Linked DNA regions of Lonchura striata. The protein of the gene in region 2 purifies or fractionates together with the protein of the main gene of each other region. This does not show direct contact. Links are inferred from orthologs where the notes say so. Each region holds a gene or a part of one and is shown on either strand. Other genes may lie near its edges.

Region 1 (14,954 bases), on a different chromosome or scaffold from region 2:
CAGAGACCTCACCTGCCTAGATGATCTCTAAGGTACAGACCAGAGCTGAGCACACATGGCTGGAGCACCTGGGAGAGACACAAGAGCTGGATGGAGAAACACATGAAGGTGAGACATTCACCATCATGCACAGGCTTCAGGACTGCCTTTCCCAGCCTCCTGCACTATCTCTTGCCCATGCATGGAGTAAGAGACGGGACTCACAGGACAGGGGGATGAGAGCTTCCCCCCCAGTTCACACTGGGAGAAAGCAAGGAGCAGAGGGAAGCCAGGAACCAAAGTCATAAAGCACAAGCACAGGCCGGGCTGCGCAGTGCCACACGTGGGCTGCCAGGCTCTATTTTAAATGCTGTGTGGCAAATATATGCAGGATGGAATCCAAGCTGGGGGAAGGGGAGGGTGCTGGGCAGCAGAGGTGTTCAAAATTAGGAGCTGAGCTCAGGCAAGGATGGCTTCTGGGAGCAGATGGGGGAAGAGCCAGAGCTGGGACTGTGCAGCTGCACCGCGAGGAAGAACAGCCCCGTGGTGAAGTGTGAGGAGGGCTGTGGCCTGCTACCCTCCTGGCAAGGCAGGGACAGCAAGATAGCTGCAACCACTGGGGAGGGACAGCTGGAACAACTGGGGCAGCTGCAAGAGGAGCCTGGCTTCTTCTGTGGCACAGAGACCTCTGTCCCCCTTGGCACAGCTCCTGGCATGAGTGTCACTCCAAAGCCACCTCCGTCCTCGGTGTGTTTAGACCAGCTGCTGCTGGGAGATCTGGCACAGCAAGATGCAGGGCAGCAAAGAGGAATTGATTCACCTGCCTTTCACAAGTGGGGAAGGTGAGGGAGTTGGAGAGACCTGGCCAAGCCCCAAATTGAGCCCTGAAAACCTCCACATCTGCAAAACTGGCTTGATTCATCTGGATCAACCCTCGAAAAGCTGCTACCATCTCACTGTGCTTTGTAAGATGTTCCCAACCAATACCCCAGCATCCGGGTGCAGCGCGAGGCTCTGATGGGAGCTGGCAGATCTGGGATGGTACCTGCCCTACATTTCCAGAGCCGTCAGGTTGACAGAATGAGCAAGTTTTTATATAGATTTTAGTGGCAGCGGTTTTCTTCACCAGCGGCTGGAGGGGCGGGGAGAAGGAAGGGGAGATGGAAAATATTTTTGTTTAAGCTCTTTTCTGCATTCCTGCTGCCAGAGTTGTGCATTACTCATGCGCCCCTCGTACTCAGGCTGGTAGCTCCGGGTTTTACTCAGAAGGAAGGGGCTGTGGAGAATTAAGCAGTTGGTTAAATTATTAATAGTCTGTCGGGGGGTGCCCGCCCGGCCCCCGCTGCCTTCCTGGGGGCTCCAGTGCCCCCCACAGGCTCGGAAACCAACTGCAGCGCCTTGACGAACCCGGGCCAAACCTGCCCCACTTCCAGCCCGCAGCCACCCCATTCCCCTGGCTGGAAACCACGAGACTCATGCGGCTGGGACGGAGCCTCCTGCACCCGGTCTCACCCACCACGTGTTTAAACTGGGCAGGCACCAAGGCGGCTGCAGCTGTTCCACCCCACCAGTGAGTTTGGGGCGGTGGGAGCAGCAAGAGAAGAGGCAGAAGAGCCCACTGGGGAGGGCAGAAGTTGCAGTGGCAGCTATATGCAGCAGAAGGCACCTTCTATTCACGGCAACACCCAGAGGACAGCTGCCATGCAGTGCTTGGTGCTCAGTGCCACAGCTGCAGGCTGCAAAACAGCATCTGAGTGTCTGAGGTTTGACAGGGGCCAAGCTCCAGCAGTGCCAGGACACAGAGGGTGGCACATGCAAGGGTTGAGTTCTAATCAGGTTCTCACCACACACAGTGGAAACCATTCCTCTCAGCTCCACCACACTCGCTGTCAGACTGATCCTGCTCCCACACGAGCCCCCCACCTTCCTTCCTGATCCCTCCAGTTTCCTTCCCGCAGCGCTGACATTTGTTTCAGGCAGCTGAACTCTCCTCACACCAGCTGCTGCCCCATAACCAAAGTCCTGAGGTGAAACTTCATGGGGCAAACCACAGCAAACGTGGCCTCCATGGGGATATGAGCAACTGGCACTCAGCCGAGCCCAGATCCCTCTGCTCACGGCTTCATGGGCCTCCAATCTCTCCCTCTCTTCTCCACTGGGAGACAGCTGGGCTGGACAGACCCAGGCCCCTGCTGTGCACTCTAGCAGGGGTTTTCTTTGACTTGCTAATTTTGCCCAGGGATCGGGGTCAGACTGGCAGCCCCACCTTTACCAAGAGAGCTCCAAGACAGGCATTGCAGATGATTTCATTTTTGGCTCCTGGCTTATCTTTACCGCGTGGGATGCACACCAGTTACACGTAAGTCCTTGCCGGTCCCCCTTCCCCCTCCCCAGTGGTGGCCAATCTAAGGCTCTTCCCCAGCACAGCCAGAGCTCAGGCTCTTCTCCAACACGGCCTCCAGCCAAGAACCTGACTCCACCGTTGTCCTAGAATAATGGAATCACGGAATATTCTGAGCTGGAAGGCACTCACGAGCATCATCAAGTCCAACTCCTGGCCTTGCACAGGGCAACCTCAACAATCCCACCATTTGCTCGAGAGCATTGTCCAAATGCTCCTTGACCTCTGGCAGCCTTGAAGCCACGACCACAGAGCCTGTTTGAGTGCCCAGCCATCTCCTGAGGAAAGAACCAAACCTCTCTGCTCCTGCCATTTATCATTTTGCTCCTCCCAAGATTTTGGTTCTCAGACTGTACCTCCCATATGCTGAGGCATACAGAATATGCCCCAAAATCTGAGCTCTGAATTCTCTCTGCCCCTCAGGGGCATCAGCCATCCCAGTCCTTACAGGATTTGGGGTTCTTTCAGTGGTCCACTTCTTTCTGGCAGCTTGCTCTTCCCAATGACACCTCCAAAACTGGCTGGGAGGACAGGGATCACCAGCTCCAGCTTCCCTCCTCACCAAGCACCAGTGGGACAGCAGGGATGAGGCGCAGCAAAGCCCCACATCTGGTCAGGACCATTGTGGTGATCGGAGAGGGTCGGCACAGCCGTCACACGGGGCCTGAGCACAGAACACACCGGGCACGGGAGGAGATGGAGCCTGCACAGCCAGCTCACAGCACCACTCCCCCAGCTTGGTCAGCAAAGAAACACGGGAGTCTGAACCTCAGTGAGGCATGAGGGCCCTGAGTAAGGGCTGGGCAGCTCTGACTTGGCTCAGGGTCAAGGTGATGCCAGGGAAGGACGAGTGAAGCCTGTACAGGACCTGCATTCAAGTACATGGCTCAGAGAGGCCACGCTGACCCTCCGCAGCTCGCATCTTGCTGCTCAGCAGAGTCAGGCTAGAAGTGTCCCAGAAGCTGTGGAAGGACTTTGACTCAATGACATTTCTGCACAAATGCAGCCTGCTTGGCACTGCTGGAAAGCCACCACGCCTAGCTAAAGAGAAAAATCAGCTTCATCTTCAAAGCTGGCCCTGCTCTGAGCCAAGGGCTGGGTCAGAGACCTCGAGAGGGCTCCAAACCCCTGTCACAGGCCAGGCCTGCCAGCACCAGCTGGCAGGTACTGCAGGTATTCATGCACACTCACAGACCAACTCGCAGGTATTCATGCATACTCACAGACCAACTCGCAGGTATCTGTGCACACTCCCAGCACCAACTTGCAGGTACTGCAGGTATCCATGCACACTCCCATACAGCTTCTGGGATGTCTCCCAGCACGCCAGGGAGTCCAGCACTCACAAAAAGGTTGCAGGCTGGTGCCAGCACTTCCTTGTGAGCCTTAGAAGTGCCAGAAAAGGAAAAATGCACACCATAACCAGTTTGTGGATGAGCTGCATGGCCCAGCCCAGCTTTGTAGGGCCATGTACAGGATATGCCACCTCCTCTGCTCAGACCAGAGTGGGAAACGCTGATCCACCCACAGGACAACAACTACTGCCCTCCTGTGGGGAGTTACACAGTGCTTCTGGCCTTGGAAGCCTGCAAGGGTAATCCTCACAGCCTCCCGAAAGGCTGAGTGCCTGCAGAGGAAGGTCAAAACCCAAAAAGAGCTGTGCAGAGAACAGAGGATGCCCTGTCCACAGTTTTGCCTCCCCCCACCAGGAGTGTGAAGAAAGTAAGAGACTCTTACGTGGGCAGCTCTGCTGGGGCAGCAGCCCCTGGAGGCTCCACTGACCCTGGGCTGGGGGCTGCAGCACCCTGGGCTGCAGCTGCTTCCTGGGTGCCTTCAGCTTCCCCAGCTTCTGGAGCTGGGATGTGCTCCGTTGTCTCCACCTCGATCTCCTGAGCTGCAGGACACAGCTTCACCCTCTCAGCGGCTGCAGCTGCCTCCTCCTCCTCCTCCTTCTTCCTCAGCTTCGCCTCCAGCTCCCGGCGCCTCTTCTCATCATCCTGCCTGGCCATCCGTTCAAACACTCGGAATGCCTGGGAGAGAAAGAGCAAACCCAGTGAGCAGCGCTCCAGCTCTGCCCAGAGAAGGGAATGAGCAGCACCACACGCCTGGGGCACCTGCTCTTTCCTCTCTGCACCACATACCTACCCCGAGCTGCTTCAGTCACCAAAACAAACAGCTGATGACTCTTTGAAAACTCCAATGGCTACATCAAGCACACCTCAGAAACTCCTGGCAGCATTTTGGAATTGTTTCTAGGATTGTATTCTCAGAGCCAACCTCACCCTAGCCTGGCAAGAGGGCTGGTTACTCCAGGGAGAAGCAGAGTGGTGAGATTCAGCCCTCGGCTGGGAGGGAGCTCCAATGAAGCCTCCCTTTCCCCACATTCCAGGGCTCACACAGGGACCACTCGCATGCCTGGTCTCAGACAGTGTCTCCAAGAGGCAAGCAGGATGAGCTGCCCCAAGAGAAGCTGCAGGACAGCTGACCTGGCACTGGCTGTGTCCAGGCAGACAGGTGCAGGAGCAGATGTGATCCAGGAGATGTAACCCTACCCCTCACCTGGCTCCCAGCCATGCCTGTCCAGTGCAGGCTGGAGGTCAGACGTGAGGCCCTTGCAGCAAGGGGTGATGGCCACTGAGACCCTGCAGCTGCCTCCTGAACGGCCTGCAAGGTCTCCCACCCCAGTGCTAGCCTTTGGCACTGTAAACACCTTCTAAAATGCCCTCCTTCGTTTCCCAGGAACATTCTGGAGGCAGATTTAGTACTTCCAGCAGCGGACTGGCACACCTGCTCGATTTGAGTCTTCCTCTGGGTCCAGGAGGTGCAGGACAAAGGACATGGCCCTGCCAGCACCATCACAACAGGACACACACTCGTGCCACTCACTCCAGCTCTCCTCCCCACGCACTGAGCAGAGGGGAGGGTGTGGGAGAGGTGAGCACCAGCCCTGCGTGGATCATGCAAAGCAGTAGCTCAGAAGTGCATCCCCCGGACTGCAGCTGGGCAAGGATGAGGAGGAATGAGCCCCTTGCACACCGTCCCCACACTCGGGGAACCTCTGGTTGCAGCCAGGAGGCCACACTAACCCCTTCCCACGGCAGGAACGCTGCATCTCCTTCACTCTGCCCATACCAAAAACTCTTCAGGGTACACCAGACACGAACCCAAGCTCGGGCCAACGTCCGAGCTGATGTCGAACCCGGCTCTTCCCACCGGGGTCTCGCAGTCCTCGCCTGCCTCGGGGGCTTCCCGTCTTCTTACGAGGGCGACGCTTTCCCCCGCTTCAAGGCACCTCTCCTGCCTTGCTCTGCGCTCCTCCGGGCAACGCCGACCCCCGCCCTGCCCGCACGAACCCCGCCGCCGGCCCGACACGAGCACCGCGCAGCCGGGAAGACACGGCCCGTTCGCTCGGCCCGCGGCAGCAAGGCCCGGCCGCGTCGCGCCCCGCTGGTACCTGCAGGGCCATGGCCTGCGCCGCGCCGGGCGGGAAGCCCAGGCGGTCCCCGGGCCGCAGGAGCAGCCGGTAGAAGTCGGTCTTGCGGTAGAGGAAGCCGAAGAGGATGCGCAGGAACTCCTCGACGTTGCCGACGTGCTGCAGGATGCCCAGCAGCGCCTGGTCGTACATGTCAGTGAGCGCGGCCTCCATGGCGGCCCGGGCCCGCTGTCACGGCAACGGGATCGGCCGCGCTTCCGGTCCGCCCGGAACCCGCCCGGCGCGCTTCTGTTCCGCCCGCCCGGCAGGCCCCTCCCGCCCGCTGCGGGTTCCGAGGCGCTCCCGGTCCCCCGGTGGCACCGCTGGGACCTCCCGCCGCCCCGAGCAGCAGCGGACGCCCGAACCCCGCGGCGCCATGTCCCCGGTGCCCCGCTGCCCGCGCTCTCCGTGTCCCCCGTGCCTCCGGCTCCCCCTCCCCTCGCCGTTCCCGGCTCTGCCCGCGCGGGGGGCGCGGCTGCAGGTGCCGCTCGGGGCCTGCAGGAGGCGCCCGAGCCCCGCCGCCGCTGCCGCTCCCGGGGCCGCTCCCGGGGCCGTGCCGGGGCCGCTCCCGGGGCCGCTCCCGGGGCCGCTCCCGGGGCCGCTCCCGGGGCCGTGCCGGGCGCTGCCCATGTCCCCCGGCCCTGTGCCAGGCACGGGGGGTGCTGGTGGCCAGGGCAGCCCTGCAGTGGTGCTCTGGGCCTGTGGGATGGGCAGCAAATCCCGCAGGAGACAGGAGAGGTGGCCCCACGGCGCTGCTTGCCCTGAGCCAAGGAATTTTCTGTGTCTCGGTGCTGTGCCAGGGAGGAGGTGCCCTAAAGAACGGCTGGCACAGCTGAACTGGCCAAGGCGTGCCCTGTGCCCAGTGTGAGGGAGTACCCGGAACAAAGGGCTCACAGGGGTTTGGGGGCTGCTGTGGCATTGGGGAGCAGTTGTAATGTGCATCACTTGTTTTCTTGGGTGTTCTCTCCCTCCTTTTTTAAAATTTGTTATTATTATTTTACTGTATTTCAATTATTAAATGTTTTTTATCTCAGCCCACAAGTTCTATTTGCTTTCCTGAGGATGCTCCTTACTCCATGAGGGGCAAAGTAAGCGAACAGCTCCATGTGCCAGCTGACAGTCCTTGTTGAGGATGATGTGGGGCACAAAGGCTTTGAGATAATCCCCAGCTCCTGACTTGACTCCTCCAGGGGAACTCCAGGAAGTGTTTGGTCCAAGTTCAGGGCAGGTCCACACCAGCAGCTGCCTGATGCCATCATGCACTTCCAGGAGCACTGGGATTTGCTCTGTAAAGTCCCAGGTGGTCTCTGCAGAGTTTACTAGAGCAGCTCTCCAGAGAACCCTGTGTGTGCTGGGCTGTGAGTTTGTGAGCCCCAACTTGGGCAACTCCCTGGGCTCCCCTGGCAGGGGAGACCCACCTGGAGCAGTTCTGTGTCAGGAGGGATGCATTGGACTTTTTTGGTTCTTCAGCTTCTGTTTACTGTTATCTTATCAAAACTTCAGCACGCTGTCTGCACCACACTCTGCATGCACAAAAAACAGCACAAAAATGGCCAACGATCTCTTGTTACAAGGCCTTTTAAGTCTAATCAAAAACTAAGCTACCCAATTAAGAAGTGACACATAAATGATTTTCCTTTCCAACCCAATAACTGAGCCCTAAAGATCCACATTTTCCAATTCAAAATGTGGATTTTTCTACCCAATTACAAGATACCACCTAAACCCAAGAAGATGAAGGAAGAGGAAGGAAGTAAAATGAACTCGAGACAACACCCTATATCCTCCATCTTGAACCCATCTATAACATATTAAAAGTCCTAAAAGCTAAGATTCTCACCCGTGTGACATACTCCACTACTCTCTACAATCTATTTCACACTTTTGTGGTTTCTGGTTAACCTTGAGGCTTTGGAAGTTTTCTCCATGAGTGAGGGTCAAAGTCAGTGCTGCCCTGGGGGTCAGGACACCCCAGAGCAGCCAGAGAAACATTCCTGGTGGAATCGTCCCGGTGCCCTGGGTTTCCACACTGGGGAAGGGCTGAATCTGGTAGCTCTGCTTGACCGGTCACCAGCAGCTGGGGAACACTTGTGCCCACCCTGGAGATGGCAGAACGTTGCTGGTAGAAGGCCCCATGAGGTCACAAAGTGCCTGTGGAGCTGCAGAGCCCAGCCCTGCAGATGCGCAGTGCAGGTCGGGCGTTGCGGGCTGCAGCAGCAGCAGCTGCATCATGGTGCAGGCACGCTGGGCCCTGACTCTCACCCTGCTCCTGGTGGCCCTGCCAGCCCGACACGCTGGGGCTGCTCCGTGGCAAGCACAGGCCATGGGTAGGTGGGCAGGCCAGGGCCAGCACGCAGCTCTGACAGATCTGAGGAGCAGCAGTGACTCGGAATTCACCAGACACTGTTTGTGACTCGGAATTCACCTGGCACTCTTTGTGACTGGCAATTCACCTGGCACTTTTTGTGACTGGCAATTCACCTGGCACTCTTTCTGAGTTGCAATTCACCTGGCACTTTTTGTGACTGGCAATTCACCTGGCACTCTTTGTGACTGGCAATTCACCTGGCACTCTTTCTCTCCCAAGCTCTGGAGCGTATGGCGGCGCAGGAGGAGGCGCTTCAGGAAGGCGGTCAGGCGGTGCCAGGCCCTGGGCAAAGCACCGGGGCCTTTCACTCAGGTGTGTGGGTCGTCGCTGTCCTTTGGCCGCTCAGCCCCGGCTGGCTGCAGGCTCTGCCCCGTGCCAAGCTGCCAGTGCCAGCAGCAGCTCTGCGGTGACTGTCACCTCTGGGCTGCAGGCTCTTGCTGTTCCTGTCCCAGGCACACACGCTCAGACACTCTGTGGATGCAACAGGATGCTCACCAGCTCTCACACTCCCTTCTCAGGGATTTCAGAACTTAGTTCTTTTGGAAATGAGGCCACCTGGGCAGCCCTCAGCAAATTATGGGAAATGTGACTCTGGATTTAATGTCCCTGCCCCAGCACCTGCATGCCAGGCCTTGCTGTGAGACCCTGGAGGCCCTGACACAACAAGGGGCGATCCCTCCTCAGAACCAGGCTCCAGAGGGGTGCACTCTCAGATCGGCATGGCTGAGGGGCACCCTACATCATCCTCCTGCAAACTCTGTGCCTGAGCCATGCTGAGCGTTTACTTTTCCCTGATCCCTGTCAGTGCTGGCCAACCCTGGGGAAGGCCCTCGTCCAGGATATAGGAATGCTTTCAAAATTATCCAGGCACGGAGCAGTCCTGCCACGGGTTGTAAGTGGGAGACAAGTCCTGAAAACTGGGGGCAGGCAAATGCTGTCCGTACTGCAGAAAAGGCAGCAAGGGAGAGGGAAGTTCAGGTATCTCCCCAGAGGGCCTGACTGTATCCCCTTGGGGGTGTGGGTGATGGGCTGGGGAGGGAGAGCTGCAGGTGGCTCACCTTGACACAGGAATGGGTTTTGTCCACCTGACTCCAAGGGCTGGCTGGTCAGACAGTTGTGCTCCCTCCAAGCTCTCTGTCCAGCCCCCGGGGTCCTGTCCGTGGGGACAGCTGTATCCTTCAGCATCAGTCTCCATCCAGGGCAGCACCTGCTGAGCCCTGAAAGGGAAAGATGGGCAAGTGCAAGAGGAGTTGTGGACAAATGTGAAGGATCCCTAGGGACAGGGAGCAAAGCCTGGGTGTGCTGTGTTCTTCCGTGAGCCTCTTCCCTGTTCTGTTGTTCTGTCAGGACCGATGGTGCTCCAGGGTATGAGAGGAGCTCCTTGTGTGGTCTGGTTGCAGCTGTGGGCACAGGCAGGGCTTTCCCAACTTCTGGGCTGGACTCTGCACTGGAACTCCCCTGGCACTTTAGGAGTCATTCGTCAGTCCTGACCGACTGCATGGCCTGAGGGCTGCTTCCAGGGTTTGCTGGGGGCAAAATGCAACTTTATTCTTTGCATCAAGGTCCAGAGTATCAAGATGAAAGGGGACAATCTTCTGTGGAGACATCCAAACTGCTACATGAAATCCTGAGGAAGCTGAGGATGATACTAGGAGGTGGGTACAGGTCACCCCTGCCCAACACAATCGGGCAGCTGAGGTTTCAGGTGCATGTAGGGGCACACCATAGCACCCCCCCCACACACACCAGACCCTCACTGAGGGACTCTCCCTGTCATGCTGAGCTGCAAGGGTGGTCCAGAGTCCGTACTGCCAGTTGTGTCTCCAGCTGAGTCCTGGGGGACTGTGTTTGCCCAGTCAGATCATCCCTGGCCAGAGCACAACAGAAATTGTGGGCGCATGGGAAGAATCCCCAGGAGCAGGGAGCAAAGGCAGACACTGGAAGAACTGGATTAAGGCTACTCCAAAGTGTAAGCAAATCTGAGAGGAGAGAGAGGGTCCAGAGAGTGGGGACTTGCAAGGCCTTTGGGAGTTCCCTTGGTTTCTACTGAAGCCGTGGAAATGTTACCACAGGATATTCCCTTGTTCAGAGCTGCTAGTGAAGTGAGAAAGAACATTTCTTGGCAATGCCAGCCCTCCAGCGAGATTGCCAGATGTGTGCAGGACATGCTAACGTGCACAATTGGTCCTCCAGGTGTGAACAGCCTGAACCTCAACAGCGCTGTCAGCAGGAGATCTGCCAGTGCTGGGAGCACCGGGGCAGAGCCGACCGCTGCGGATAGCAGGGCAGACCCAAACACGGTGCTGGGCAGGGCAAACACAGACGCTGTGGATGCTAATTCTTTCCAGAAGTTCTGCATTGAAGGCATCGTGGCGGTCCTTGGCTCAATGCTGCTGGGAATGGTGCTGTGTTGTGTGTTCCATGTGTGGAGGAAGAGGAGAAAGTGAGTTGGCGGGGCGGAGGGGAGCTGCCGAAGCAGTATTGGGTGGCATGAGGTGTTTGGAGCTCTGGGTGCCCAGTAAGTCACTGTGGTGCTGTCAGCTGGCACTCGGTGCTCTGCCCAGAGCTCCCCAGTGGTGCCCACGGCCCACGGGGTGCCCAGCACTGCTCCACACCCTCACACCCAGCCTGCCACACTTTAGCAGCTTCCTCTGTCCACAGGCACCTCGCAGGTGCCTGAGCCAGCCAGCCAGAACCCAGCAGAATATTTGGAGAATATTTGTATTTTTAAATAAAGACCAGCAGCAAAATCAATTGTGTTGTACTGGAAGCAAACTCACATGGGTGCCCACTGCAGGGCCTAGGGGTCCCCTGGGTACTGAGGGGGGTGCGGGGAGCCCCATGATGCTACTGATTCAAATTGATTCTAATTTGATTTTCACTACATGTATTATCCATGCTGTAAGCAATACAGTGACCCTGGACATGACCTTTTGTTGTGTTTTTGCAAATTCACATTAATTCCACCTGAACATGAGAAAGAACCTCTCTATGCAGGTGACCACGCACTGGAACAGGTTGCCCAGGTTGTGGATCTCACCCACTTGTGATATTCCAGGACTGTCTGGACACAATTCTGTGCAATGTGCTGCAGATGACCTTGCTTGAGGAGGGAGGTGGGACCAGATGATCCCACTGTTGTCGCTTTCAACCTTACCCACAATGTGATTCAGGTTTGTTTTCACTAATACCTTTGCCAGTGATCCACCAGCACACAGTGAGTGGAAGAGGTCTCCCATGCAGGTGAGATTGTTTCATATGCTTGGGCAGGATCTCCTGGGGAAATGCATGGCAAGGAAAGGAGCTGGATGAGTGAGCTGGGGCTGACCTTGACAGGGCTTTTTCCATCCCAGCTTACTGGAACACCAGGAAAAGGTGGGCTGCCTGTGCAGGTGTCCCTGTGGAGCTCTGCCACAGGACCCTTGTGTCTGGCTGCTGTCCAGAGTGCTTCTGGGTGCTTCCCAGCCTCCAGCAACACACAGACCCCGGAATGCTTTATTCTGTTCTATACCTTTTGTCATGACATATTAACACTCAGTGCTTCGTGCATTTATTCTGAACCTGCTTTTCTGTTGCTCCAACAAACCAAACTATTCATGAATCTGCATCGTGTAAGTTCTCATGGAACATGACCACACTTACGGTGCCCAGTTGGTGACACAGAGAGGGGCCATGTAGGCACGTGTGGCAGGGGTGAGAGCAGTGAAACAACTTTTAGGGTGAGGTTAGAAGAGAGAGATCACTCAATAGTTAAGTCATGGGCAAAACACTTGACTCAGGAAAATTAATTTTAATTTATTACCAATTAACAACCGAGTAGGACAACATGAAATAAGAGGATCAGTCAGGAGTGGAGCCCAGGTAGGCAGAGACACCAACAGCTTCGGTGCTGGGGGTTTCGGAGTGCTGGTGACACTTAAGAGGTCCAGAGTGTGCCAATGAGTGTTGGGATGCCCAGTGATGCTGCTGAACACCAGGGCACGTGCAGGGACCTGCAGGTCAAAGCCAGCACCAGGACTGGGAGTGGTGATGCCAAGCAGGTGGACTTCAGGACACACTCAGCATCCATCAAAGGCACCCAGTGCAGGAGTTACAGACTTACTGGTGTTACTGGGGCGGGGGGATGTAGTTTGTAGGTGAGACGGCTACAGGCTGGAGTGTTTCCCGGGGCGTTTCCCAGCAGCTCCCAGATGCTGCCTCACTGCTTTAAGTGCCTCCAGTGTCACAGTCCCACTGCTCAGGGGTGGGGATCACTGTAGCAGTGAAGCTGACAAAGGTCTAAGGATCCCCTCCCAGTGCTGGGATCCTGCAGTGTCCTGGGGGCATCTCGAAGGGCCTGCTCCTTCCCAGGATATCCGTGGCCCTGCGCCCCATCCATTCAGCTCTGTGATCAATGCTGCTCCCCATGTGCAAGGCTCTGTACCCTCTGCAAGGCTCACTGCCATACCCTTCCACACTTGGCCACACACCTGCACACTTTGTGCCGTGCCCCATGTCTGGTGCATCCCACACACTCAGCGCTGCACCCCACGTACCCGTTCCTTCACCCTCTATGCCCAGCACTGCTCCCCAGACCTGCCCCCACCCCTGCAGGGGTGTAGACACACCTGGATCCCTTCTCAGCTTTGGGATACAGGGTTATGGGATCTGGGGGCCCAGAACATGGATCCTAGCAGCTTCATCCAGACTCCTGCCAGTTTCTTCCTCACTTCACACACCTAGGGCAGACTGGGACACCCAGTGGTTACAGGAATGCGGAGTGGGGACAGGGGAAAGGCATGGGGTCATCCCCTGCTAATGCTTTGGCGAGCTGAGAGTGGCAAGGGGTCCCCAGGCTCCAGGTACACGTCCCTCCTTAGCCCCCAGGCCCAGCCCGGGCTGTGCTGTGGCTCTGTGCACCCAGTGCTGCACGTGGCCTGGGACACAGGGCCCATGGGGACACAGGACGGACTCTGGCCGGGTGACGCAGGGGCAGCCATGCAGCAGGGCTGGGGCACCCTGGCCACTTCCCCCCGTACCCGGTGCCATCTGCAAGCCCTTGTCACTAGCGTCCCCGTGACGCGATGGCCCGGCCGTGGCCAGCCCTCAGCCACTGACCCGTGGGGCGGCACAACCCCTGGCCAGACACCCCAGCTTCCCGTGCCGGCCAACCCCTGCCCTGGGGCTGCCCGTGGCCTCTGACCACTGAGCCGTGGTTCCTGCTGGGCAATGATCACCCCGAGATGGGAACGGGCACCGGCGCTCCCCCTGTTCAGGGCACACGCATGCCCCTCGCGTGTGATGTGCACACGCGTGCACAGATGGCTGCACACTGGAGGGGCTCACCCCTGCCTGTGTCACCCAGGCTGGACGTGCTGGGGGGACCCTGCAGTACCTCCCGGGAACCTCCTGGGATCTTGCAGGATCCCCTGACCTGCCACCACTCAGCTGGATGCTGGTGGCTGCTGGTTTCAGTCCCTACGTGTGGTTGCTGAGGCCGGTGGGAGCCCCTGGGTTGGTGCTGGTCCCAATCAGTGCAGGCACAAGGCCCATGCCTGCTGCCAGTTCAAACTGGCATGGGACTGAGGCACACTGGAGTGCCAGCCCAGCGCTCAGCAGCTCAGTGCCCGCCTGAGCTGGTGCAGCACTGTTGCTGTGCCTGGCAGAGGCTGGTCATGCTGGAGCTGAGCAGAACTGTTCCACATGTGGGCCAGACCCACACGGATCCCCACATCCATGCCAAACTGTGTCAGGCTGTGCTGGAGCCCAGCCTGAGCCCTCACACGTGCTGGGCTGTGCCCGTGCCACACTAGAGCAGAGCCCACATTGGGCCATGCCGTGCCGGTGCCAGGCCATGCCATTCTCGTGCCGGAGCCGTGCCGGTGCGGTGCGGTGCGGTGCCGGTGCGGTGCCGTCCCGGTGCGGTGCCGGTGCCGTCCCGGAGCCGTCCCGGTGCGGTGCCGGTGCGGTGCCGGTGCCGTCCCGGAGCCGTGCCGGTGCGGTGCCGGTGCGGTGCCGGTGCCGTCCCGGTGCGGTGCCGGTGCCGTCCCGGAGCCGTCCCGGTGCGGTGCCGGTGCGGTGCCGGTGCCGTCCCGGAGCCGTGCCGGTGCCGTCCCGGTGCGGTGCCGGTGCGGTGCCGGTGCCGGTGCCGTCCCGGAGCCGTCCCGGTGCGGTCCCTCCCCCGGCGCGCACGTGGTTCTCCGGCGCGCTGCCCGCGCGGGGGCGGGGCCTGGCCCGGCTCCGTGCTCGGCGTTGCCCAATGGCGGCGCGGCCCCGCCCCCTGCCCCGGCGGGCGGGCCAATGGGCAGCGAGGGCGGAGCCGGGCCGGAGGGGCCGGGGGCCGCGGTCACGTGGGGCGGAGGGCGGTGTTAAAGGCGCCGGGCGCTGCGGCCGCGGCAGTCCGGGCGGCGGGGACCGGCACCGGCGGCGGCGGGGACCGGCAGCGGCGGGGAGCGGCCCCGAGGGCGGCGGGGCCAGAGCGGCACCGCAGCTGCGGCTTCCTGGTTGGCGCGGCCGGCGCGGCCCAGCCGGTGAGCGGAGGTGACGGGCAGGCGCGCGCACACACGCATGGCGGCGGGAGGGGGCGGTGGCGCGCGCGGGAGCGGCCGTTACCGGCGGCGGGAAGGGCCGGTGCTCGCCCTGCGCGCGCTCTGCTCGTCCGGTGCTCGCCCGGTGAGTGCCTGCTCCTGCGGTGCTCAGCTCTGCCTTTCCCGCAGGATGACGAGCGGCGCAGACCATGGCGCGGCACCCGGCCC
Region 2 (14,810 bases):
ATTTTGTTTTCTAACTGGATTTCTGGTATCAAATAAAAAGGTAAGGACCAGTATTAGCTTACTTCCTTTTTTCATCAGAGCACTGGAATTCCTTTCCTCCCATCCCCTGTTCTCTGATATTTAATAATAGCTGAACTCATACCTTAGTCCTTCCTGTTCAAACTATTTAATGATCACTTGCCTTTAAATGGGCCACTCATTTTCATAGAACATACAGCGACTTAACTCACTGCTGTCTGGAATCAGCCAAGAGACTCAGTGTTACAAGGACTCTCAGACAGTACTACTGTGTAAATTACAGAGCTTTAGGAGACCAACTAAGACTTGGCTCAGCATCAGTTCCATGATCAGGGTTAAATATAGGAAAGGACAGTTGGAATTTGAAAATGTGAAAGTGAGAACAGAATAACACAACAATGTATCAGGGGAGAAAAAGTAAAAAATTAAGCAACATTCCCCAACTGACAGAAGCAATTATATATTCATCTGGAAATAGTGGGATCTCCCATCACACAGGTAATACTACTGAAGGGAGTTCTTCAAAAGATTATGTGCATTACTGTGTACCTAACAGCACTGAAAAACCACAGCAGCAAGCTCCAAACACACAGCAGGATCCTTGCCCTTACCTTGACAAAGGTAATTACATTATGGGTACTCCTCAAATAAAAGGAGAAAAATTAACTTGTACACAAGATGGCCCTAAAAGAAAGGCCTCTTTTACTACCCTCGAAGAAGCAGAAAGGAAAAGCTGGAAGTGAAGTGGAGACATGGTATATGCACCTCCAGTATTGCTTTTAAGGAGGAAAACAAGTAAATAATACTCAACACAATCAAACAAAAACTCCAAATGCAAAACAAACACAACACAACACAAAAAACCCTCAACCAAACCATCACCAAAGAGTCCTGGGCAACTGGCTCTAGGTGGCCCTGCAGGTGGCACAGATGACCTTCAGAGGTCCTTTATAACCTCAACTCGTCTGTGAATCTGTGATTGTGTTGCTGTTGCACAGACACTGCAACCATGTAGGGGTTTTTTTGCAACCTTCTTTTTAATTCTGATTAAATAGAAATAAGACAAATATACAAACACCAAAAAATAAATATATATTATTATCCTTTGAATTTTAAATCTGACAAGGCAGCAATCACTGAAATACTGAGAAATGAAACCTACCTGTATTTAGGTACCCTTTAGAGTTCCAATTTTTACATCTCCTTACAACTAGCTATTCCATAAAAAATATTTAAACCACCAAGTCAGCCACAAATCTCCGTAACAGTACGAAAGGAGTCAACACTTTGAAATTATTATTTCTGAATGTTTTAAAAATGTAGGTGTTTAAATCACTTAATCCTTCTTTTCACATTCCTGCTGACATTACTTTTAGTAAATCGACAGTTTTCAACATTAACGTATTTTTCCTCCTGAACAGCAGTGAGCATTTAATGGATTACTTAGACACAAAACCAGTAAGACTTCTCCCTACACCATCTAAAGAAGCTTCAGAATTCCATGAGTGAAAAGCAAAAGGACTACTTGTCTTCCTGCATTAAATAAAAGGAGTAAATATCCTTTTCTTGGCATAAAGCCATGTACATTATCAGCAGATAAGTTTTTCTTTAAAACAAAAAAATGTATTGCCAGTACAAATAAACAAAGGGGTTAAAATAGTACAAAAACTGTGAAAGTAGATAATTAAATGCGTATTATGCTTAACTGGCAAAAATCTTCATTTCTAAAGCTAACATCCTCTGTCAAAAGCAAATAGCAATGTGGTAGTTCAAACATTAAAAAAAGCAATACAAAATAACTCTCAAACCAAGTAATTTTTCTAAAGCATAGCTATGCCATTCCTCCCACACACATACTTGCAATCTTTGATGTAATTCTAAGCACTATTCAAATGCTGCAGTTATTTCCCAGAGGACAATACATAACATTTTTTTCCATATTTTCAATAAAAATGGAAAATTCAGTTCGATCTTCTTCATGCATGCAAATCACAGCTGCACACTTAATCCAATGGAAGACATGAAGCCTGCAGTGGTCTACAGGAAAACTGGAACAAAAAAAATCCAATGTATAAACAATGAAGGGGAGGTGGGGGGCAATGTACATTGACATTCGTTACTGTTCTGCACGTATTAGAGCTGATCAGGATAATGCAGCACAGGAAGACTCTGCTGAAAAGCCAAAAGAGAAATACATTTAACCTTATTAGCTGCTCCTTACATTTTTTCCTCTTTAAGCACATAATGCATTAGATTCTACAGTGCTCTAACTGTAAAACCACTTACTTGGAACACTGATTTCTCATTTTTATTCTGCAGCTGTAATGAAAGTCTGAAAATCCTACTCTAGACTGCTTTTTCTTGCTAAACAAGGAGAACCTTCTTTCCTCAGGGTGTCTGAGGCTCTTAGTCACAAGCAGAAGAAATGGAGTCTAAATGCACTGGTTATTGAGAAACAAGTCACAGAATAAATGCTTTTGACTCAAGCCCTCCTGGATTTAAAATCTCTCCAAGACCAGTACTACCTGAAAAAGAGCCTTTTCAATATGTGTCTTTATGTCATATGTAAGCTTATATGCATTTTCTAGGGATAGAAATTTATTGTCCTAGGAAAGTATTGACAATACCAGGTCTACCACACGATCTCAAAGCGAAATTTCAGACTTCCTTTACTGTTGTTCCTTAGTAATTTATCTGGGATGCTGAGATAGAATGAGCAAGATTTGTTTTGTTTACTAATTATGGAGTACTTGTTCATTTTACCTATCCCATAGATATTCTAAGAAATCATCTTTGTGGACAAGCTGAACAACAAATTTTCACATAATAAAACACTATTATCTATGAGTTACACTATAAAGATATTTCAATAGACACACAGAACCATGCTTTGGTTACACAATGTACTAAAATAGAGCTTTAAACAAAATAATCTCTTCCATCCACCAAATGCATGCATTTAAATGTAATTTTTAAAGCCATCATGCACACTTTATTTGATCAGGTGCAAAGGAAAGGCTGCCTAGAGCAGAATATTTTGAGCCTAGTTTTGTTAATAAGGACATTTCTCCATAGTCAAATGTTATACACACATATGAAAATACAAGTATTTGAACACACTAGCACACATTCACAACTGCACATATGGCCAAAGGCTGGGCCTTTGAATGCAATGTACTGAGTAACAGTACAATTATAACATACACAGCATAAATAATTTATCCCCCGAATTAAACCTTTGTTTACATGGTTTAAAACTAAAACCATTAAATTTTGTCAATTTTTTATCATAATCCTCCACTAACAGCAACAGAAGGAGTGATATCATGTGGGATAGATCAATAACCAGTGGCTATCAAAACTTTCTATTGCTACAACAATTGCAACGTAGGGAACAAAGAAATACATCCACTTTCCATGTGTTTTATCTGAAATCCTTTGTAATTAGGACACTAAATTTGGGAAACCATTTATCTTCAACCCATTCTTATGTTCATGTTTAAGACTTCATCCAATCCATCTTGAGAATTTCAAAAGCACTGGATTACTTGAGAATGGAGAAGTTAGGAGCTTACCAATCACCACCAGTCAGAGGAACCAGACTGCCAGAACTTAAAATTTGGCTAATCCTGAAAGCTGCCCAGACTCCATTTCTTAGGGACACAGAGCTGACCAGAACAGCTCCCTCGACAATCTCTGCTCCTGTTGCTATCTGGGAACAATCTGAATTAGCACAGAGCAGCAGCGGCACTTGGTGTCATTATGGTCATTACAGCCATGTCAAAAATACCAGAACCAGTTACAACCAAACCTGCTAAAACTCAGCATGGATTGTGCCTCAGCTCAGCATGGTTACTCTTCACTCTACGTGTGCCAGAACCTGTAACTGCACTTCACAGACACTAAGATGGCTTGAACCACCTGTCTAAGAAGTCACTGCATCCCAACGCGTGCACAGAAAAACCTGCTCCCAAACACAGAGCAAGCTCAGCTCAACGCTCTGCCAGAACAGGTGCACTGTATAAAACAGTTGATATATCCACCAAAATGAGAATTACCTTTTAAGTGGAAATACTTGTATTTAACTTTTAGATATTACTAAAAGTTAAATTATAGTAGTGTTGAAAAGTACAGATTTGCCATTGCTCTCAAAGTGGACAGGACTGCTCTATCCTGAATGACAGCAGTCCTTCTTACATATATATACACATACATATATATATATCTGTCTTATAGAATGAGTAACGATTTCGAATGTAAGAAAAAGGTATGAATAAAGGCTGATTCTGTCACTGTGAAGATTTTTATTAAGAAAATTGTAGTGTATTTTATACAGAAAAGTAGCAAGCTAAGTATCTGTTAGTAACAAAAAATCCTATCTTTTCTGACTTATCATAAATTTTTAGCGTAATAAGATAGAAAGGAGTAAGAAGTAGTATTCAAACTATGTTAGTAAAAATATTTTAAATTTAAATTAGGATTGCTAAACTATGCCCTCCATTTGTCTTTTTGTTATATGTATCTTTATTGCTAATTTAGTATGTACTCCTAGCATCTTCTGAGAAAATGACATTAATTGTGCCCTTTGTTCAAGACACACAGGTTTTGACCTTACTACCAAATACCAAACTCACTTGTCAGAAACACAGAAATCTCAAACCTATTTTATTTCTACACATATCCCCCAGACTGGCAGCTAGATGAATGAAAAAGGTCTGATATCTCTAGTGTGAGCTCAATGGTTATCTGCTGTGCTCTGCTCACTGAAAGGCAAATCAACACATGTGTAGATCCAAACCAGCCACAGGGTATAATTAAGGAAAGTGAAAGGAGATGAGTGTCAGTGGAAAGTTTATAGGACATGTGGTAGAAATTAAACACGTTTTCTAGGTGATGGAAGGGAAAACACAGGAAGTATGTGTTGTGCATGGTGGTATTCTCAGGGGATCTGAATGTGAACTGGGGCAATGGTGGTGCAAGAGCTGGGTTATTCTACAGACAAGTTTATATAACAAGTCCACAGGAAGCCAGACTTCAGTAGTTCTGTCCTTTTATCTAGTAATAACTTTATAATTCTCCTATTTATTTTCTAAATTAGAATAGAAAAACCCAAACCCCAAACAATGAAAAGGCAAGGAGTTCAAATTTTTAAGTGACATTCCAGTATTCACCAAACACATCAAAGCTCTAGTATCATCTGGGTAGCTCTACCCGTTCAGATCACGGATACTTTTGCCGCGATCAGGTACGATGGGGGAGGGGGGCGGGTAAAAATGGCCATTTTCGGGGCAGGAACTCAGATGACCTACTTCAGCCTGCCGGCTCGCACGCTCGCAGGCTGAGCTCCCCGGCGAGCGGGGCTGGCGGGCCGGCTCCGCGACGTGCGGCCGCGGGAGCCCGAGGGGCCCGGCGGGGCTGCGGCCGCCCCGCCCCGCCCGGCGCGGCCGTGCCCGATCCCGCGCCAGCCCGCCTGCTCCCCGCCCGCCGCCCCGGGGAGGAGAGACCCCGAGGGCCCGGAGGGCGCCCGGGCCGCCCTCGATGGGGCGAGCGACGGCGGCGGGAGGGCCCGCGGGATCCTTCACCCACCTCTCGGCGGCGGCGGCGCTGAGGACGCGGCTCCTCCCGCTGGAGCGGCGGAGAGGGGCCCTGGCTCCGTGTACCATACAGCCGGGGGCGGCGGAGGGAGGCGCCGGGGGGCTGCGGAGAGGGGCAATGGCTGAGGCGAAGCCGGGAGGAGGAGGAGAAGGAGGCGGAGGAAGAAGGGGGGATCCTGGGCTCCCTCCTCCCCGCCGTCCGCGCTCGGGGGGGGCGGTGGGAGCCGCCCCCGCCGCGCCGCCCGGGCACCGGCGCGCCCGGCCCGGCTTCGGCCCCGGGGTCCCCGCCGCCCTCACGCTTGTTTACCTTCCGCGCTGCCCCGCGCGGCCGCGGGCGCCATGTTCCCCCGGCAGCACCGCGCCGGCCGTCACTTCCGCCGCACCTGCGGCCGCGCGGGCGGGCCCGGGGCGAGGAACGGCTCCGGCACCCCGGCACCGGCACCCCGGCACCGGCACCCCGGCTCCGGCACCCCGGCTCCGGCACCGGCACCCCGGCACCGGCACCCCGGCACCGGCACCCCGGCACCGGCACCAGCACCGGCACCCCGGCTCCGGCCCGTGCGGGCTCGGCCAGGCGCCGGAGCCCCGGCACGTCCCGGGGAGCACGGCTGGAGAACGCGACACCGAGAGGCATCATCTGCGTCCGGCCCGCGAGGACGCGCATCCACACGCGTCCGCTTTCAGAGGGTCGGTCTTGCGCTGCTCTCGCCCGCCCCGCTGCCTCCAGGCTGCGGCCGAGCTCTCCGAGGCGATGGCAGCTCCCAGGTTGCTATGGCAGCTGCCCGCTGCAGCGCTGCATCCCGCCCCGGGTACAGCAATCGCCGCTCGGGGCCGGCTGCCGGCTGCGCTCCTCCCCGGACAGCGGCCAGCCGCTCCCGCGGGCTGATGCCAGCTCTCCGCTCCCGCAGGCGGCTTTGCGAGCCGCCGTGGGAACCGGGTCACCAGAGCCGCAGGGGTCAGGGCCGGCAGCGCTGGAGCAGCGAACAAACTGCACACAGGGAGCACGGCCCCGAGGGGGTGAGCAGGGCTCTGCCTTAGTACAAACAGTACTCCTTAGCTTTCGCTATTTTGCCTTTGCCTGGCAAACTCAGATTTCATTGTACGAGATGAACTAACCTACGTGGACCTTTGGTTTGCCACTACCACCCCCAAACCATATAAATAGCAGGCCACAGGCTGGCATCCTCTCCCTGTTTACTGCTGTTCCCATCCTATTTTCAGTCTCTCATTATCACCCCCCCCCCATTCTTGATTTATAAAACAAGAGTACCTTCTCTATACCTGCTACCCCCAAGCTGAATGCCTTTCCCACCTTTCACAGCTTCAAGAAATGAATCAGCTACTCCATGTGGTGCCTTACAAAAGACTTCCCAATGCTATTCCCACTCCCCTCAACTGCCTACCTACTGCTCCCTCTGCTACGATCAAGTTCCCATTCACTCCTTCATCACAATGGCCAGACCTCTCTCGGCTTTGCCTTACTACTCCGTCTCATTCACTCATGCAGTAAATTTACCCAATCTCCCCAGTCACTGTTTTAAAACCTGTTACTTGTGTGTTTATGGTGAAAAAACTGGCCTTTACAGACTGACCCTGCCGAGACAGCAGGTGTTCCTGCCACCTATGTCTCCAAGACATTCCCTCCCTTTTCCATAATGGATATCTGCTGCAGCAAACATGTACCCACCCATATCTAATGCTTCAACAAAGAAAAATGAGTAGGAACTAAGTTTCTCATATACAGAAATGATACAACCAAAACTTCATGCATACTTCTGCACCCCTCAGACTTTTCACCTTCATGGGTCAGCAAGGGCAGAAAAAGCTAAGCAAGACTTTTATGTTTTACCTGACTGTCATTTTGCTGTCTGCAGTTTGTGTCAAGCTGAGGTGCAAGATGGTCTTCAGGTCTCTCCTACACACTTGTCACAGAATCACAGAAGAGGACCTCAAACCTAGCCACAAAACAAAACCATAGCAGCTTTGACATTTAAAACAGCTCAACATTTCAAAGCACAAAAAAACCCTCTCATACCCTTCTCCTTCACATTGAACAATTTGCTTCTACCAAAAAATCAAATATGTTAATAATGTCTCAATTCTAGTCTCCTAAAAAAATTAAATAATTACATTTAGGCCTCTGACAATGACCACTAGTCTCAAAATTACCTTACTGAATATTAATTTGAGATTTGGGTTGACCCCTCTGATTTAGGCATTTGTACAAAGTCAGTGGCTAAACAGTTACCACTAGCTTAAATAAGACTATTGCGATGAAGAGAATTCTGGATGTAGTTTTTTTGAGCTATATTAATATGCTACTTAGGATCTAATTCTAATATTTTTAAACTTTATTTAATTAATACATAAATGTCCAATACACATATATTGACATATGACATAATGTCAACTCCTAGAAATGTTCTTACCTATTTTAGTTGGGGTTGTTCAGCCTGGAGAAGAGAAAGCTCTGAGTAAACCTTATAGAAGCATTCAGTGCTTAAAGGGGGCCCAAAAGGCTAGAAAATGGACTTTTCACAAGGGCATGGAGTAACAGAACAAGGCAGAATGGCTTTAAACTGAAAGAGGGCAGATTTAGATTAGGTGCTAGGAAGAAACTCTTTACTGTGAGGGTGAAGCACTGGCACAGGTTACTCAGAGAAGCTGTGGTTGCCCCATCCCTGGAAGTGTTCAAGGCCAGGCTGGACGGGGCTCTGAGCAGCCTGGGATAGTGAAAGATGTTTCTGCCCATGGCAGGAAGATTTGAACTCGATGATCTTTGAGGTCCCTTACAACATAAACCATTCTAGGATCCTACAATAATTAGACATTTACAGACTTTAGACTTTTCTGCTTTTCTTTATATTACAAACATTTCCAAATAAGTGAATCAAAATAGCAAGAGAACCTCAGAATATGTAAAATGTACAATCTCAATGTTAAAATAGAAGCAACAGTTTGCGTAGTTTTTTTCATATTCCTGACAGGGTGTTTGACAAGGATTGAGTCCTTTTTAAAGGCTGTTTCAAATGTGACAAAAACTATTTCCATAATTTTACACACACTGCACTGCATTTATTGCATAATTTAAGCAGCTAAGTAACTACAGAGTCCAGCACTTTCAGTTCATTTTCATAAAAGAGGGATTATACATGTGTGAACATCGAGGCAACTACAACCAAGTATTGCATCATGTTCTCACTACACCTCATGTATTTCAGTGGTTTTTCCCAGAAGTGAGATATTTAATACAAAATTGAAAACACCGTGTGGCCTGAAACAAGATTATGAAAATTTATTTTCCAGACCATTGTCCAACACGACTGGGTTGCAAGACAAAATACATTTTGTCATTGGCAATACCATCATAGATACTGAAAGGTTTCTTACAATGTGCTCCTGTTAATTTCTTCAGATCAAGAACATTGTGGCAATGTGTTTGCTCTACAAATACCCATCAGAACTCACTCCTAGATCTTGTATCAGGAAAGTATGGAAATAATATCATAGGTGAAAGTGGGAGGTTACAACCATTGTTCAACCAGGCATACCAGTTTCACACGGATTTCCATCATCACATTTCAGTCACATGGTTGCCTGCCCCAAACCTGCTTTTTTTGACCTGCAAAGCCAGGCAGAGTCTGAGAACAAATGTGTATTCCAACAGATAAAGCTGCTGTTGTTGGCACAACGCACACATATTTGAGATAACTGGTTACCTGCATTGAAACCTGCTTCCCTGACCAGGGAGGAAATACTATCAGCAACATCTTCTATGCCTTTAAGAGGTTCCCATGAAGAACAGGGAAATTTAACCTTTACTCTCTGGTGAACCTCTAAACTGGCTCTCATCACTGGATTAGGGATTTTATTCAATTTATGTCATACCCAACTCTGGGAACAGCAAGTGTTTGGTGGGATTTTTACCTGTTTCGTACAAAACATTTAGGTATGTTGGGGCAACTCTCACATCCACATGCCTTCCCTAACAATAAGCGCCCAGTCTACAAAGACAGTAACAAGAAAAAAGCTAAAATAAGAAAGATCTCCTCACGGCGATGGCCAGCAGAGGTTCTGACACACGTGCGGTGACCTGTTACTGTTGAAGCAGGCACCGCGGTCGATGCGCTCATTTCAGTGCATACACAGATATCGTGCCTTCTGCACCGCACCCCCGGGCACCCCAAATAAATCCGCACAGCAACAAACCCCGAGCACGGCAGGGGCTCCTGCCTTCGGTGTGTCTTTCAGCGAGCCCTCCCCGCAGGCACGGCGCTGTTTCGCTCCGCTCCGGCGGGGTTTGCGCGGCGCCCGTCCCGCCGCGCTCCCGCCGCCGCGCCGTGCCCGCGCTCCCGCGCCGTGCGCGCGCACGCTGCGAGGCCCCGCCGCAGGCCCCGGTTGCATCATCCGGCGTGATGGCGACCGTGCTGGGGGGTCCTTTACAGGGCTGCCCGTTGGTGCGCCTGACTCGTGGCCGCTCCGCTGCGGGGCAGATGGCGGCCCCCCGGCGCTGATCGCGGCTTTTCCTTGAGCTCGGTGTCCGCTCCCGGGCCGGCCGGTGCCGCGCTGTGGGCCGGAGGTTGCGGGCCGGCAGCGGCTGTGCGGAGAGGAGCCGGCAGTCAGGCGGCCGCGTGGGCTCCTCACTTCCTACTCGGGGCAAGATGGCGGGGGACGAGGCGGGAGTGACTCTGGGGCAGCCGCACCTCAGCCGGCAGGATCTCGGCACCTTGGTGAGCGCCGCTCGTGGGGCGCCCAGCAGCGAGATCGGGCTCCCGGAGCTCGGCGGGGGCGCCCCGGGAGCGGAGGGGGCGGGCGTGTGGGCGAGGGGTGCGGCCCCAGGAGCTGGGAGCCTTCTGCCGGGCCCCACCGCTGCCGATGCGTGCCGAGGGGGCGCGGGAGGCGGCGGCGCCCGGGGAGCCGAGCTCAGCACGCTGGGCAGCAGGGGCCGCGGCGAGGGCAGGGGGACGCGGGCCGAGGGCAGGGGGACGCGGGTCGAGGGCAGGGGGACGCGGGTCGAGGGCAGAGCGGCGGCCGAGGGCAGGGGCCGCGGGTCGAGGGCAGAGCGGCGGCGCGCAGAGCAGGTCCCGCCGGTCCTGGCGGGTGTGGGGCGCCCGGGCGAGGTGCTTCTCCTCCCGGTGAGCATAAGGCTCCGCGGCTCCGTGTCCCGCCGGCGCCGCTGAAGCTTTTATGGCTCACTGGTGGGTGCAGTTTTCCTCGAGTAAGAGTTGCCCTGTTCTGTCGTATTAAAGATTTTTCCCTTTCTGAGATAGAACCATAAATTTGAGCCGTTTCTCTACAGCAAGTTCTAGGAGTTGTCTATTAGCCCTGTCTTGGTTTGCCAAGACAACTTTCTTGACTATTAAAAACTGCCGAGAAATACCAGATCTACCTACCACTGCAGCTACCACTTCAACCAGTTGCAGTGGTCACCTGCTGTGGCAGCCTTGCCTGTTAAATGTCTCACCTGAGCTGCCTCACCTATTACACTTATATGCTAGTCTAAATGTATATGTAATGTATATTTCTAATTCAAGTGTATTGTAATGTACATAGTCAAAAATCCTGTTGCTGTGTCTCCTGTGTTTAAACTGGAACAACTTATTTGTCTTAACAGTAATAATATTTTATGTTCTTTGGGCTTGAGCACAGGAATTCCCTACGGCAGTGTGTTAGTTATTTCAGATGGTTTCTTTTCTTCCTGTCATTGTTGACCATGGCATTTCCTAGTTGGGAAAGGCACAGATAGAGACTAGCTGGAAGGTCAGCAGGAATTACCTTTAAAGGCTTATTCTGGCGGCCCTTGAGTGCTTACGGCTGAGTGAAGCTTCTTGCTGAGCAATACCCTTGTACCAGTCTTGAGGAAAAAACTGCACGCGTGCACGATTTCATGCACCAGGAAGAATTCTCCTGGTGGCAGGAATTGCATCACGCTGAAATTCTGGTCGCCCGGCTACATGGTGCCATCTGCAGGTCACGTTCCCATCGCTGGGAAGTCATTTTAAGTTCCATATATGAGAAATATAAATTTAGTTGTGTGTCTTAGATGTTCAAAACTTGCTTTGTATTGAAGATGAACATTTTATTAATGTCATACTTGAGAGCAGAATGACTGAGCTTATGTTTTTACACAGATGTGTTTGATCATTTTGCACAGAACTTTCATGTAACAGTGTAAACAATATGTGATTTAATGTTTGTATTATTTATATCTTAAATTTTGTCCTGCACTGAGGACTCTTCTGACATCATGTCTCTGCTTGAACTGAGTAGCTCATCCATGTGAATTCGATGCAGGATGGATATTAGCTTTACAGAACATTTCAGTGGATTTCAGCAGTTGTCCATTATTTGGACAAACAGCTTTGAAAAAACCTAAGCAACTCTTTCAGAGTTGTTTCTTTATCTATACAGAGTTTATTTGTGAGGTTTTTGTTTTGCCGGTGGCTACCAATAAGTTCACACAACAGACTACTTAGGACAGCAGAATTTTTGTCTGGTACCTAAAGCAGCAATAACAGTACCCGAGGGAAAAAATAACCATTAAAAAGAAAAAAAAGCCATGGTGCTAATGAAACCTCTGGACCCACTGACTCCTAGTTGTAATTATGGATTGGCTTAATGGAACCAATTAAACAACTGTTTATTGACAAAGCTTTGTTTATAAAATATTAGTGCAGTTCATCATGTAGACTGTTGAAAATGAATTTGCCTGTTATGTGTAATTTAGGTTCAGGGGTATGTAGGGGATTGGGGTCTTTTGTTAAAATTTTCTTTTGAGGTTTCTTGTTTTGTTTACTCCCATCTTTAACACTTTGCAGACAAGACTGTTTCACAGTCAGGATTTTGAATTGTAGCCTGTATTGATTCACAAGCAAGACTTGGATCACTTTTCACATGGATTTCACACTTTTAAAAGACTGGAATGCACATAGTATAACTGGATTTTGCTGAATAGAACTATCAGTTGACCTTCAAGTTTCTAAATTTTTAACTTGCTAAACATTTATATACAAGATGAATAAATTTAAAAATCTCCCTTATACAGGATGTTACCAAGTTGACGCCACTTTCACCAGAAGTCATCAGCAGACAAGCAACAATTAATATAGGTAAAAAAAAACCTTATGAAAAAGAGGGGCGTGTTAAGGTGTCTCTTTTTGATGCTGGTGCAGTAGCAGATGGTGCCTGTGTGGTAATACTTTCAAGAAATATGTACAGAAACAAAACATAGTAGTTTTAGGGACTTGTCAAGCGCTTTTGATTTATAAAGCACCAGTTTTATTTTAGGAGCACAGTTGAATGGTATGGGGAATAGTTGCTAAAGCAAAATTTATTTTACCTTGAAATAAAGGATTGAAATGACTTTCATTCAAATGCAAAGATCTGTCCATTGGGAGCACAATTTCAGGTCTTGTTTGTTTCAATAAAAATTATTACAAATTATATATGTATGCCATATGAACTTACTGCCTGTGAAGAATTTGGGGTAATTTTGTACTGATTGTAGTGGAGCTTTGCACAGAATTAAACTGTGGTTTATTGACAAACATTTCCTTTTAAAACACAGGTACAATTGGTCATGTAGCCCATGGAAAGTCAACAGTAGTCAAAGCTATATCTGGAGTTCATACTGTCAGATTTAAAAATGAACTGGAAAGAAATATCACAATCAAGCTGGGTTATGCTAATGCAAAGGTGAGTCATCACTGTAAATATAGCAGCTATGTTGCTAATATATTTCAGGGGAGATGAAAGATTACAGGTAACTAACCCTTGAGGAATTAAACCTTTTTTCAACTTTAAATAATCACAGATTTACAAGCTGGATGACCCAAGCTGCTCTCGACCAGAGTGCTACCGATCCTGTGGAAGTAGCACCCCAGATGAGTTCCCTACAGATATTCCTGGCACCAAAGGGAACTTTAAACTAGTCAGGTAACTGCTTTAAATTGCTGGAATAAATTGTATTTACTTCCCTGTGTATGGAAACAGGATTGAGCTGTGAGCTGAATGGATTCTGGTAGACTGCACATTCTTAGATCTGGCACCCCTGGGCTAAGGCATTGTCTAAACTGAATTCATTGGTGGTGATGAGCATTTCATGGTTGAGCCCAGCTGTGTCTGCTGGCCTCAGCTACTTGCGGAACATTGAAGTTAAATTTCTGCTATTAATATAAGTACATTTTAAAACCAGCCAGATTGAGAACTAATGTGGAACTCACAAACGCATCTTTAAAATTCTTTCTGGAAGGGTGACCTTTGTTGAACTTTTTCTTCCTGAGGGCAGAGTTTCCAAAGTTTTTTAAATTAATATATAAAAGCCTGATGCTTAATGTGAGATCAGGCCTCTCACTGGAGGCCAAGTGTTCTTTACTCAATTTCTGATAAAGTATAGCACGGTCTATATGCAGTGGTTATATGGGTCTGCACAATGATTGTTCAAACAAGAGTAGTCATTAAGACTGTTGTACAAGATTCTTAGTTTGTGTTTATGTAAAATACATGTGGGCTGTGACCATGTGTCTTTCCTTTTCTCAGATTCCCAGTAGAGCACTTGTACTAAGATTAACTTCTTTTGGAGTGTGTCAGGCAGGCAGCCATTGTGAAACAACTGGTTAAAAACTTTGCATTCTTTATCCTACAGGTTTTTTGCTTGTAGATTTCTAACGTCATCAGCAAAGCACAAAATTAGGCCCTTGCTTTTTGGTGGCCTGCCACTAAGAACAAGGATTCTTCTCTAGATAGGTTCAGGAAAGAAAATAGTGAATCAAGTATCTTGGTCTGCACAGTAAAACCATAAGTTTGGAAATGTAACATCATGCCTGTAGACAAATCTTTGAAGTGCAGTTATAACCATATATTTAAAGATGCATCATTTCCTAAGATTGAAGAATGGGAGGTGCCTTTTAAAAGAGATAAGAGAAATCCCATGTGGTGTATTGGAGTTTGGGTCAGTGGTGGTGGGTTGGTTTGATTTTGGGCTTTTAACCTGGTGCATTTAACTCTAATCTAATTTAGAGTAAATTCTTGAAATATTAAAGAGGTACTTAATGTGGACATGTGGTATTAAATCTGAAAACTCAGAAAAAGCATTTGGTAGCTGTTCAGTAGCGTTTGTGTTCTTTTAGAACTTTTTTAAAATACTATTTTAAGGATACTTTTAACTTCTGTATCTGGCTAATCACTGACATAAATCAG

Evidence for each region.
Region 1: the proteins of KLHL15 (region 2) and NUDCD3 purify together in Homo sapiens (co-immunoprecipitation; 3 studies listed by BioGRID and IntAct, with this or other methods). This does not show direct contact. The link is inferred for Lonchura striata from reciprocal best matches to the Homo sapiens genes KLHL15 and NUDCD3.

The regions. Positions count from the first base shown.
Region 1 is NC_134634.1:5,381,736-5,396,689, forward strand, and holds the start of NUDCD3 (nudC domain-containing protein 3), read right to left. Parts: upstream 6,103-14,954; 5' UTR 6,027-6,102; coding exon 5,835-6,026; intron 4,411-5,834; coding exon 4,118-4,410; intron 1-4,117.
Region 2 is NC_134604.1:103,847,022-103,861,831, forward strand, and holds the start of KLHL15 (kelch-like protein 15), read right to left. Parts: upstream 6,012-14,810; 5' UTR 5,920-6,011; intron 5,716-5,919; exon of another isoform or gene 5,605-5,715; intron 1-5,604. Other genes in the region: EIF2S3 (eukaryotic translation initiation factor 2 subunit 3), read left to right, coding at 10,274-10,342, 12,658-12,721, 13,180-13,307, 13,426-13,547. UniProt on the Homo sapiens protein: Substrate-specific adapter for CUL3 E3 ubiquitin-protein ligase complex.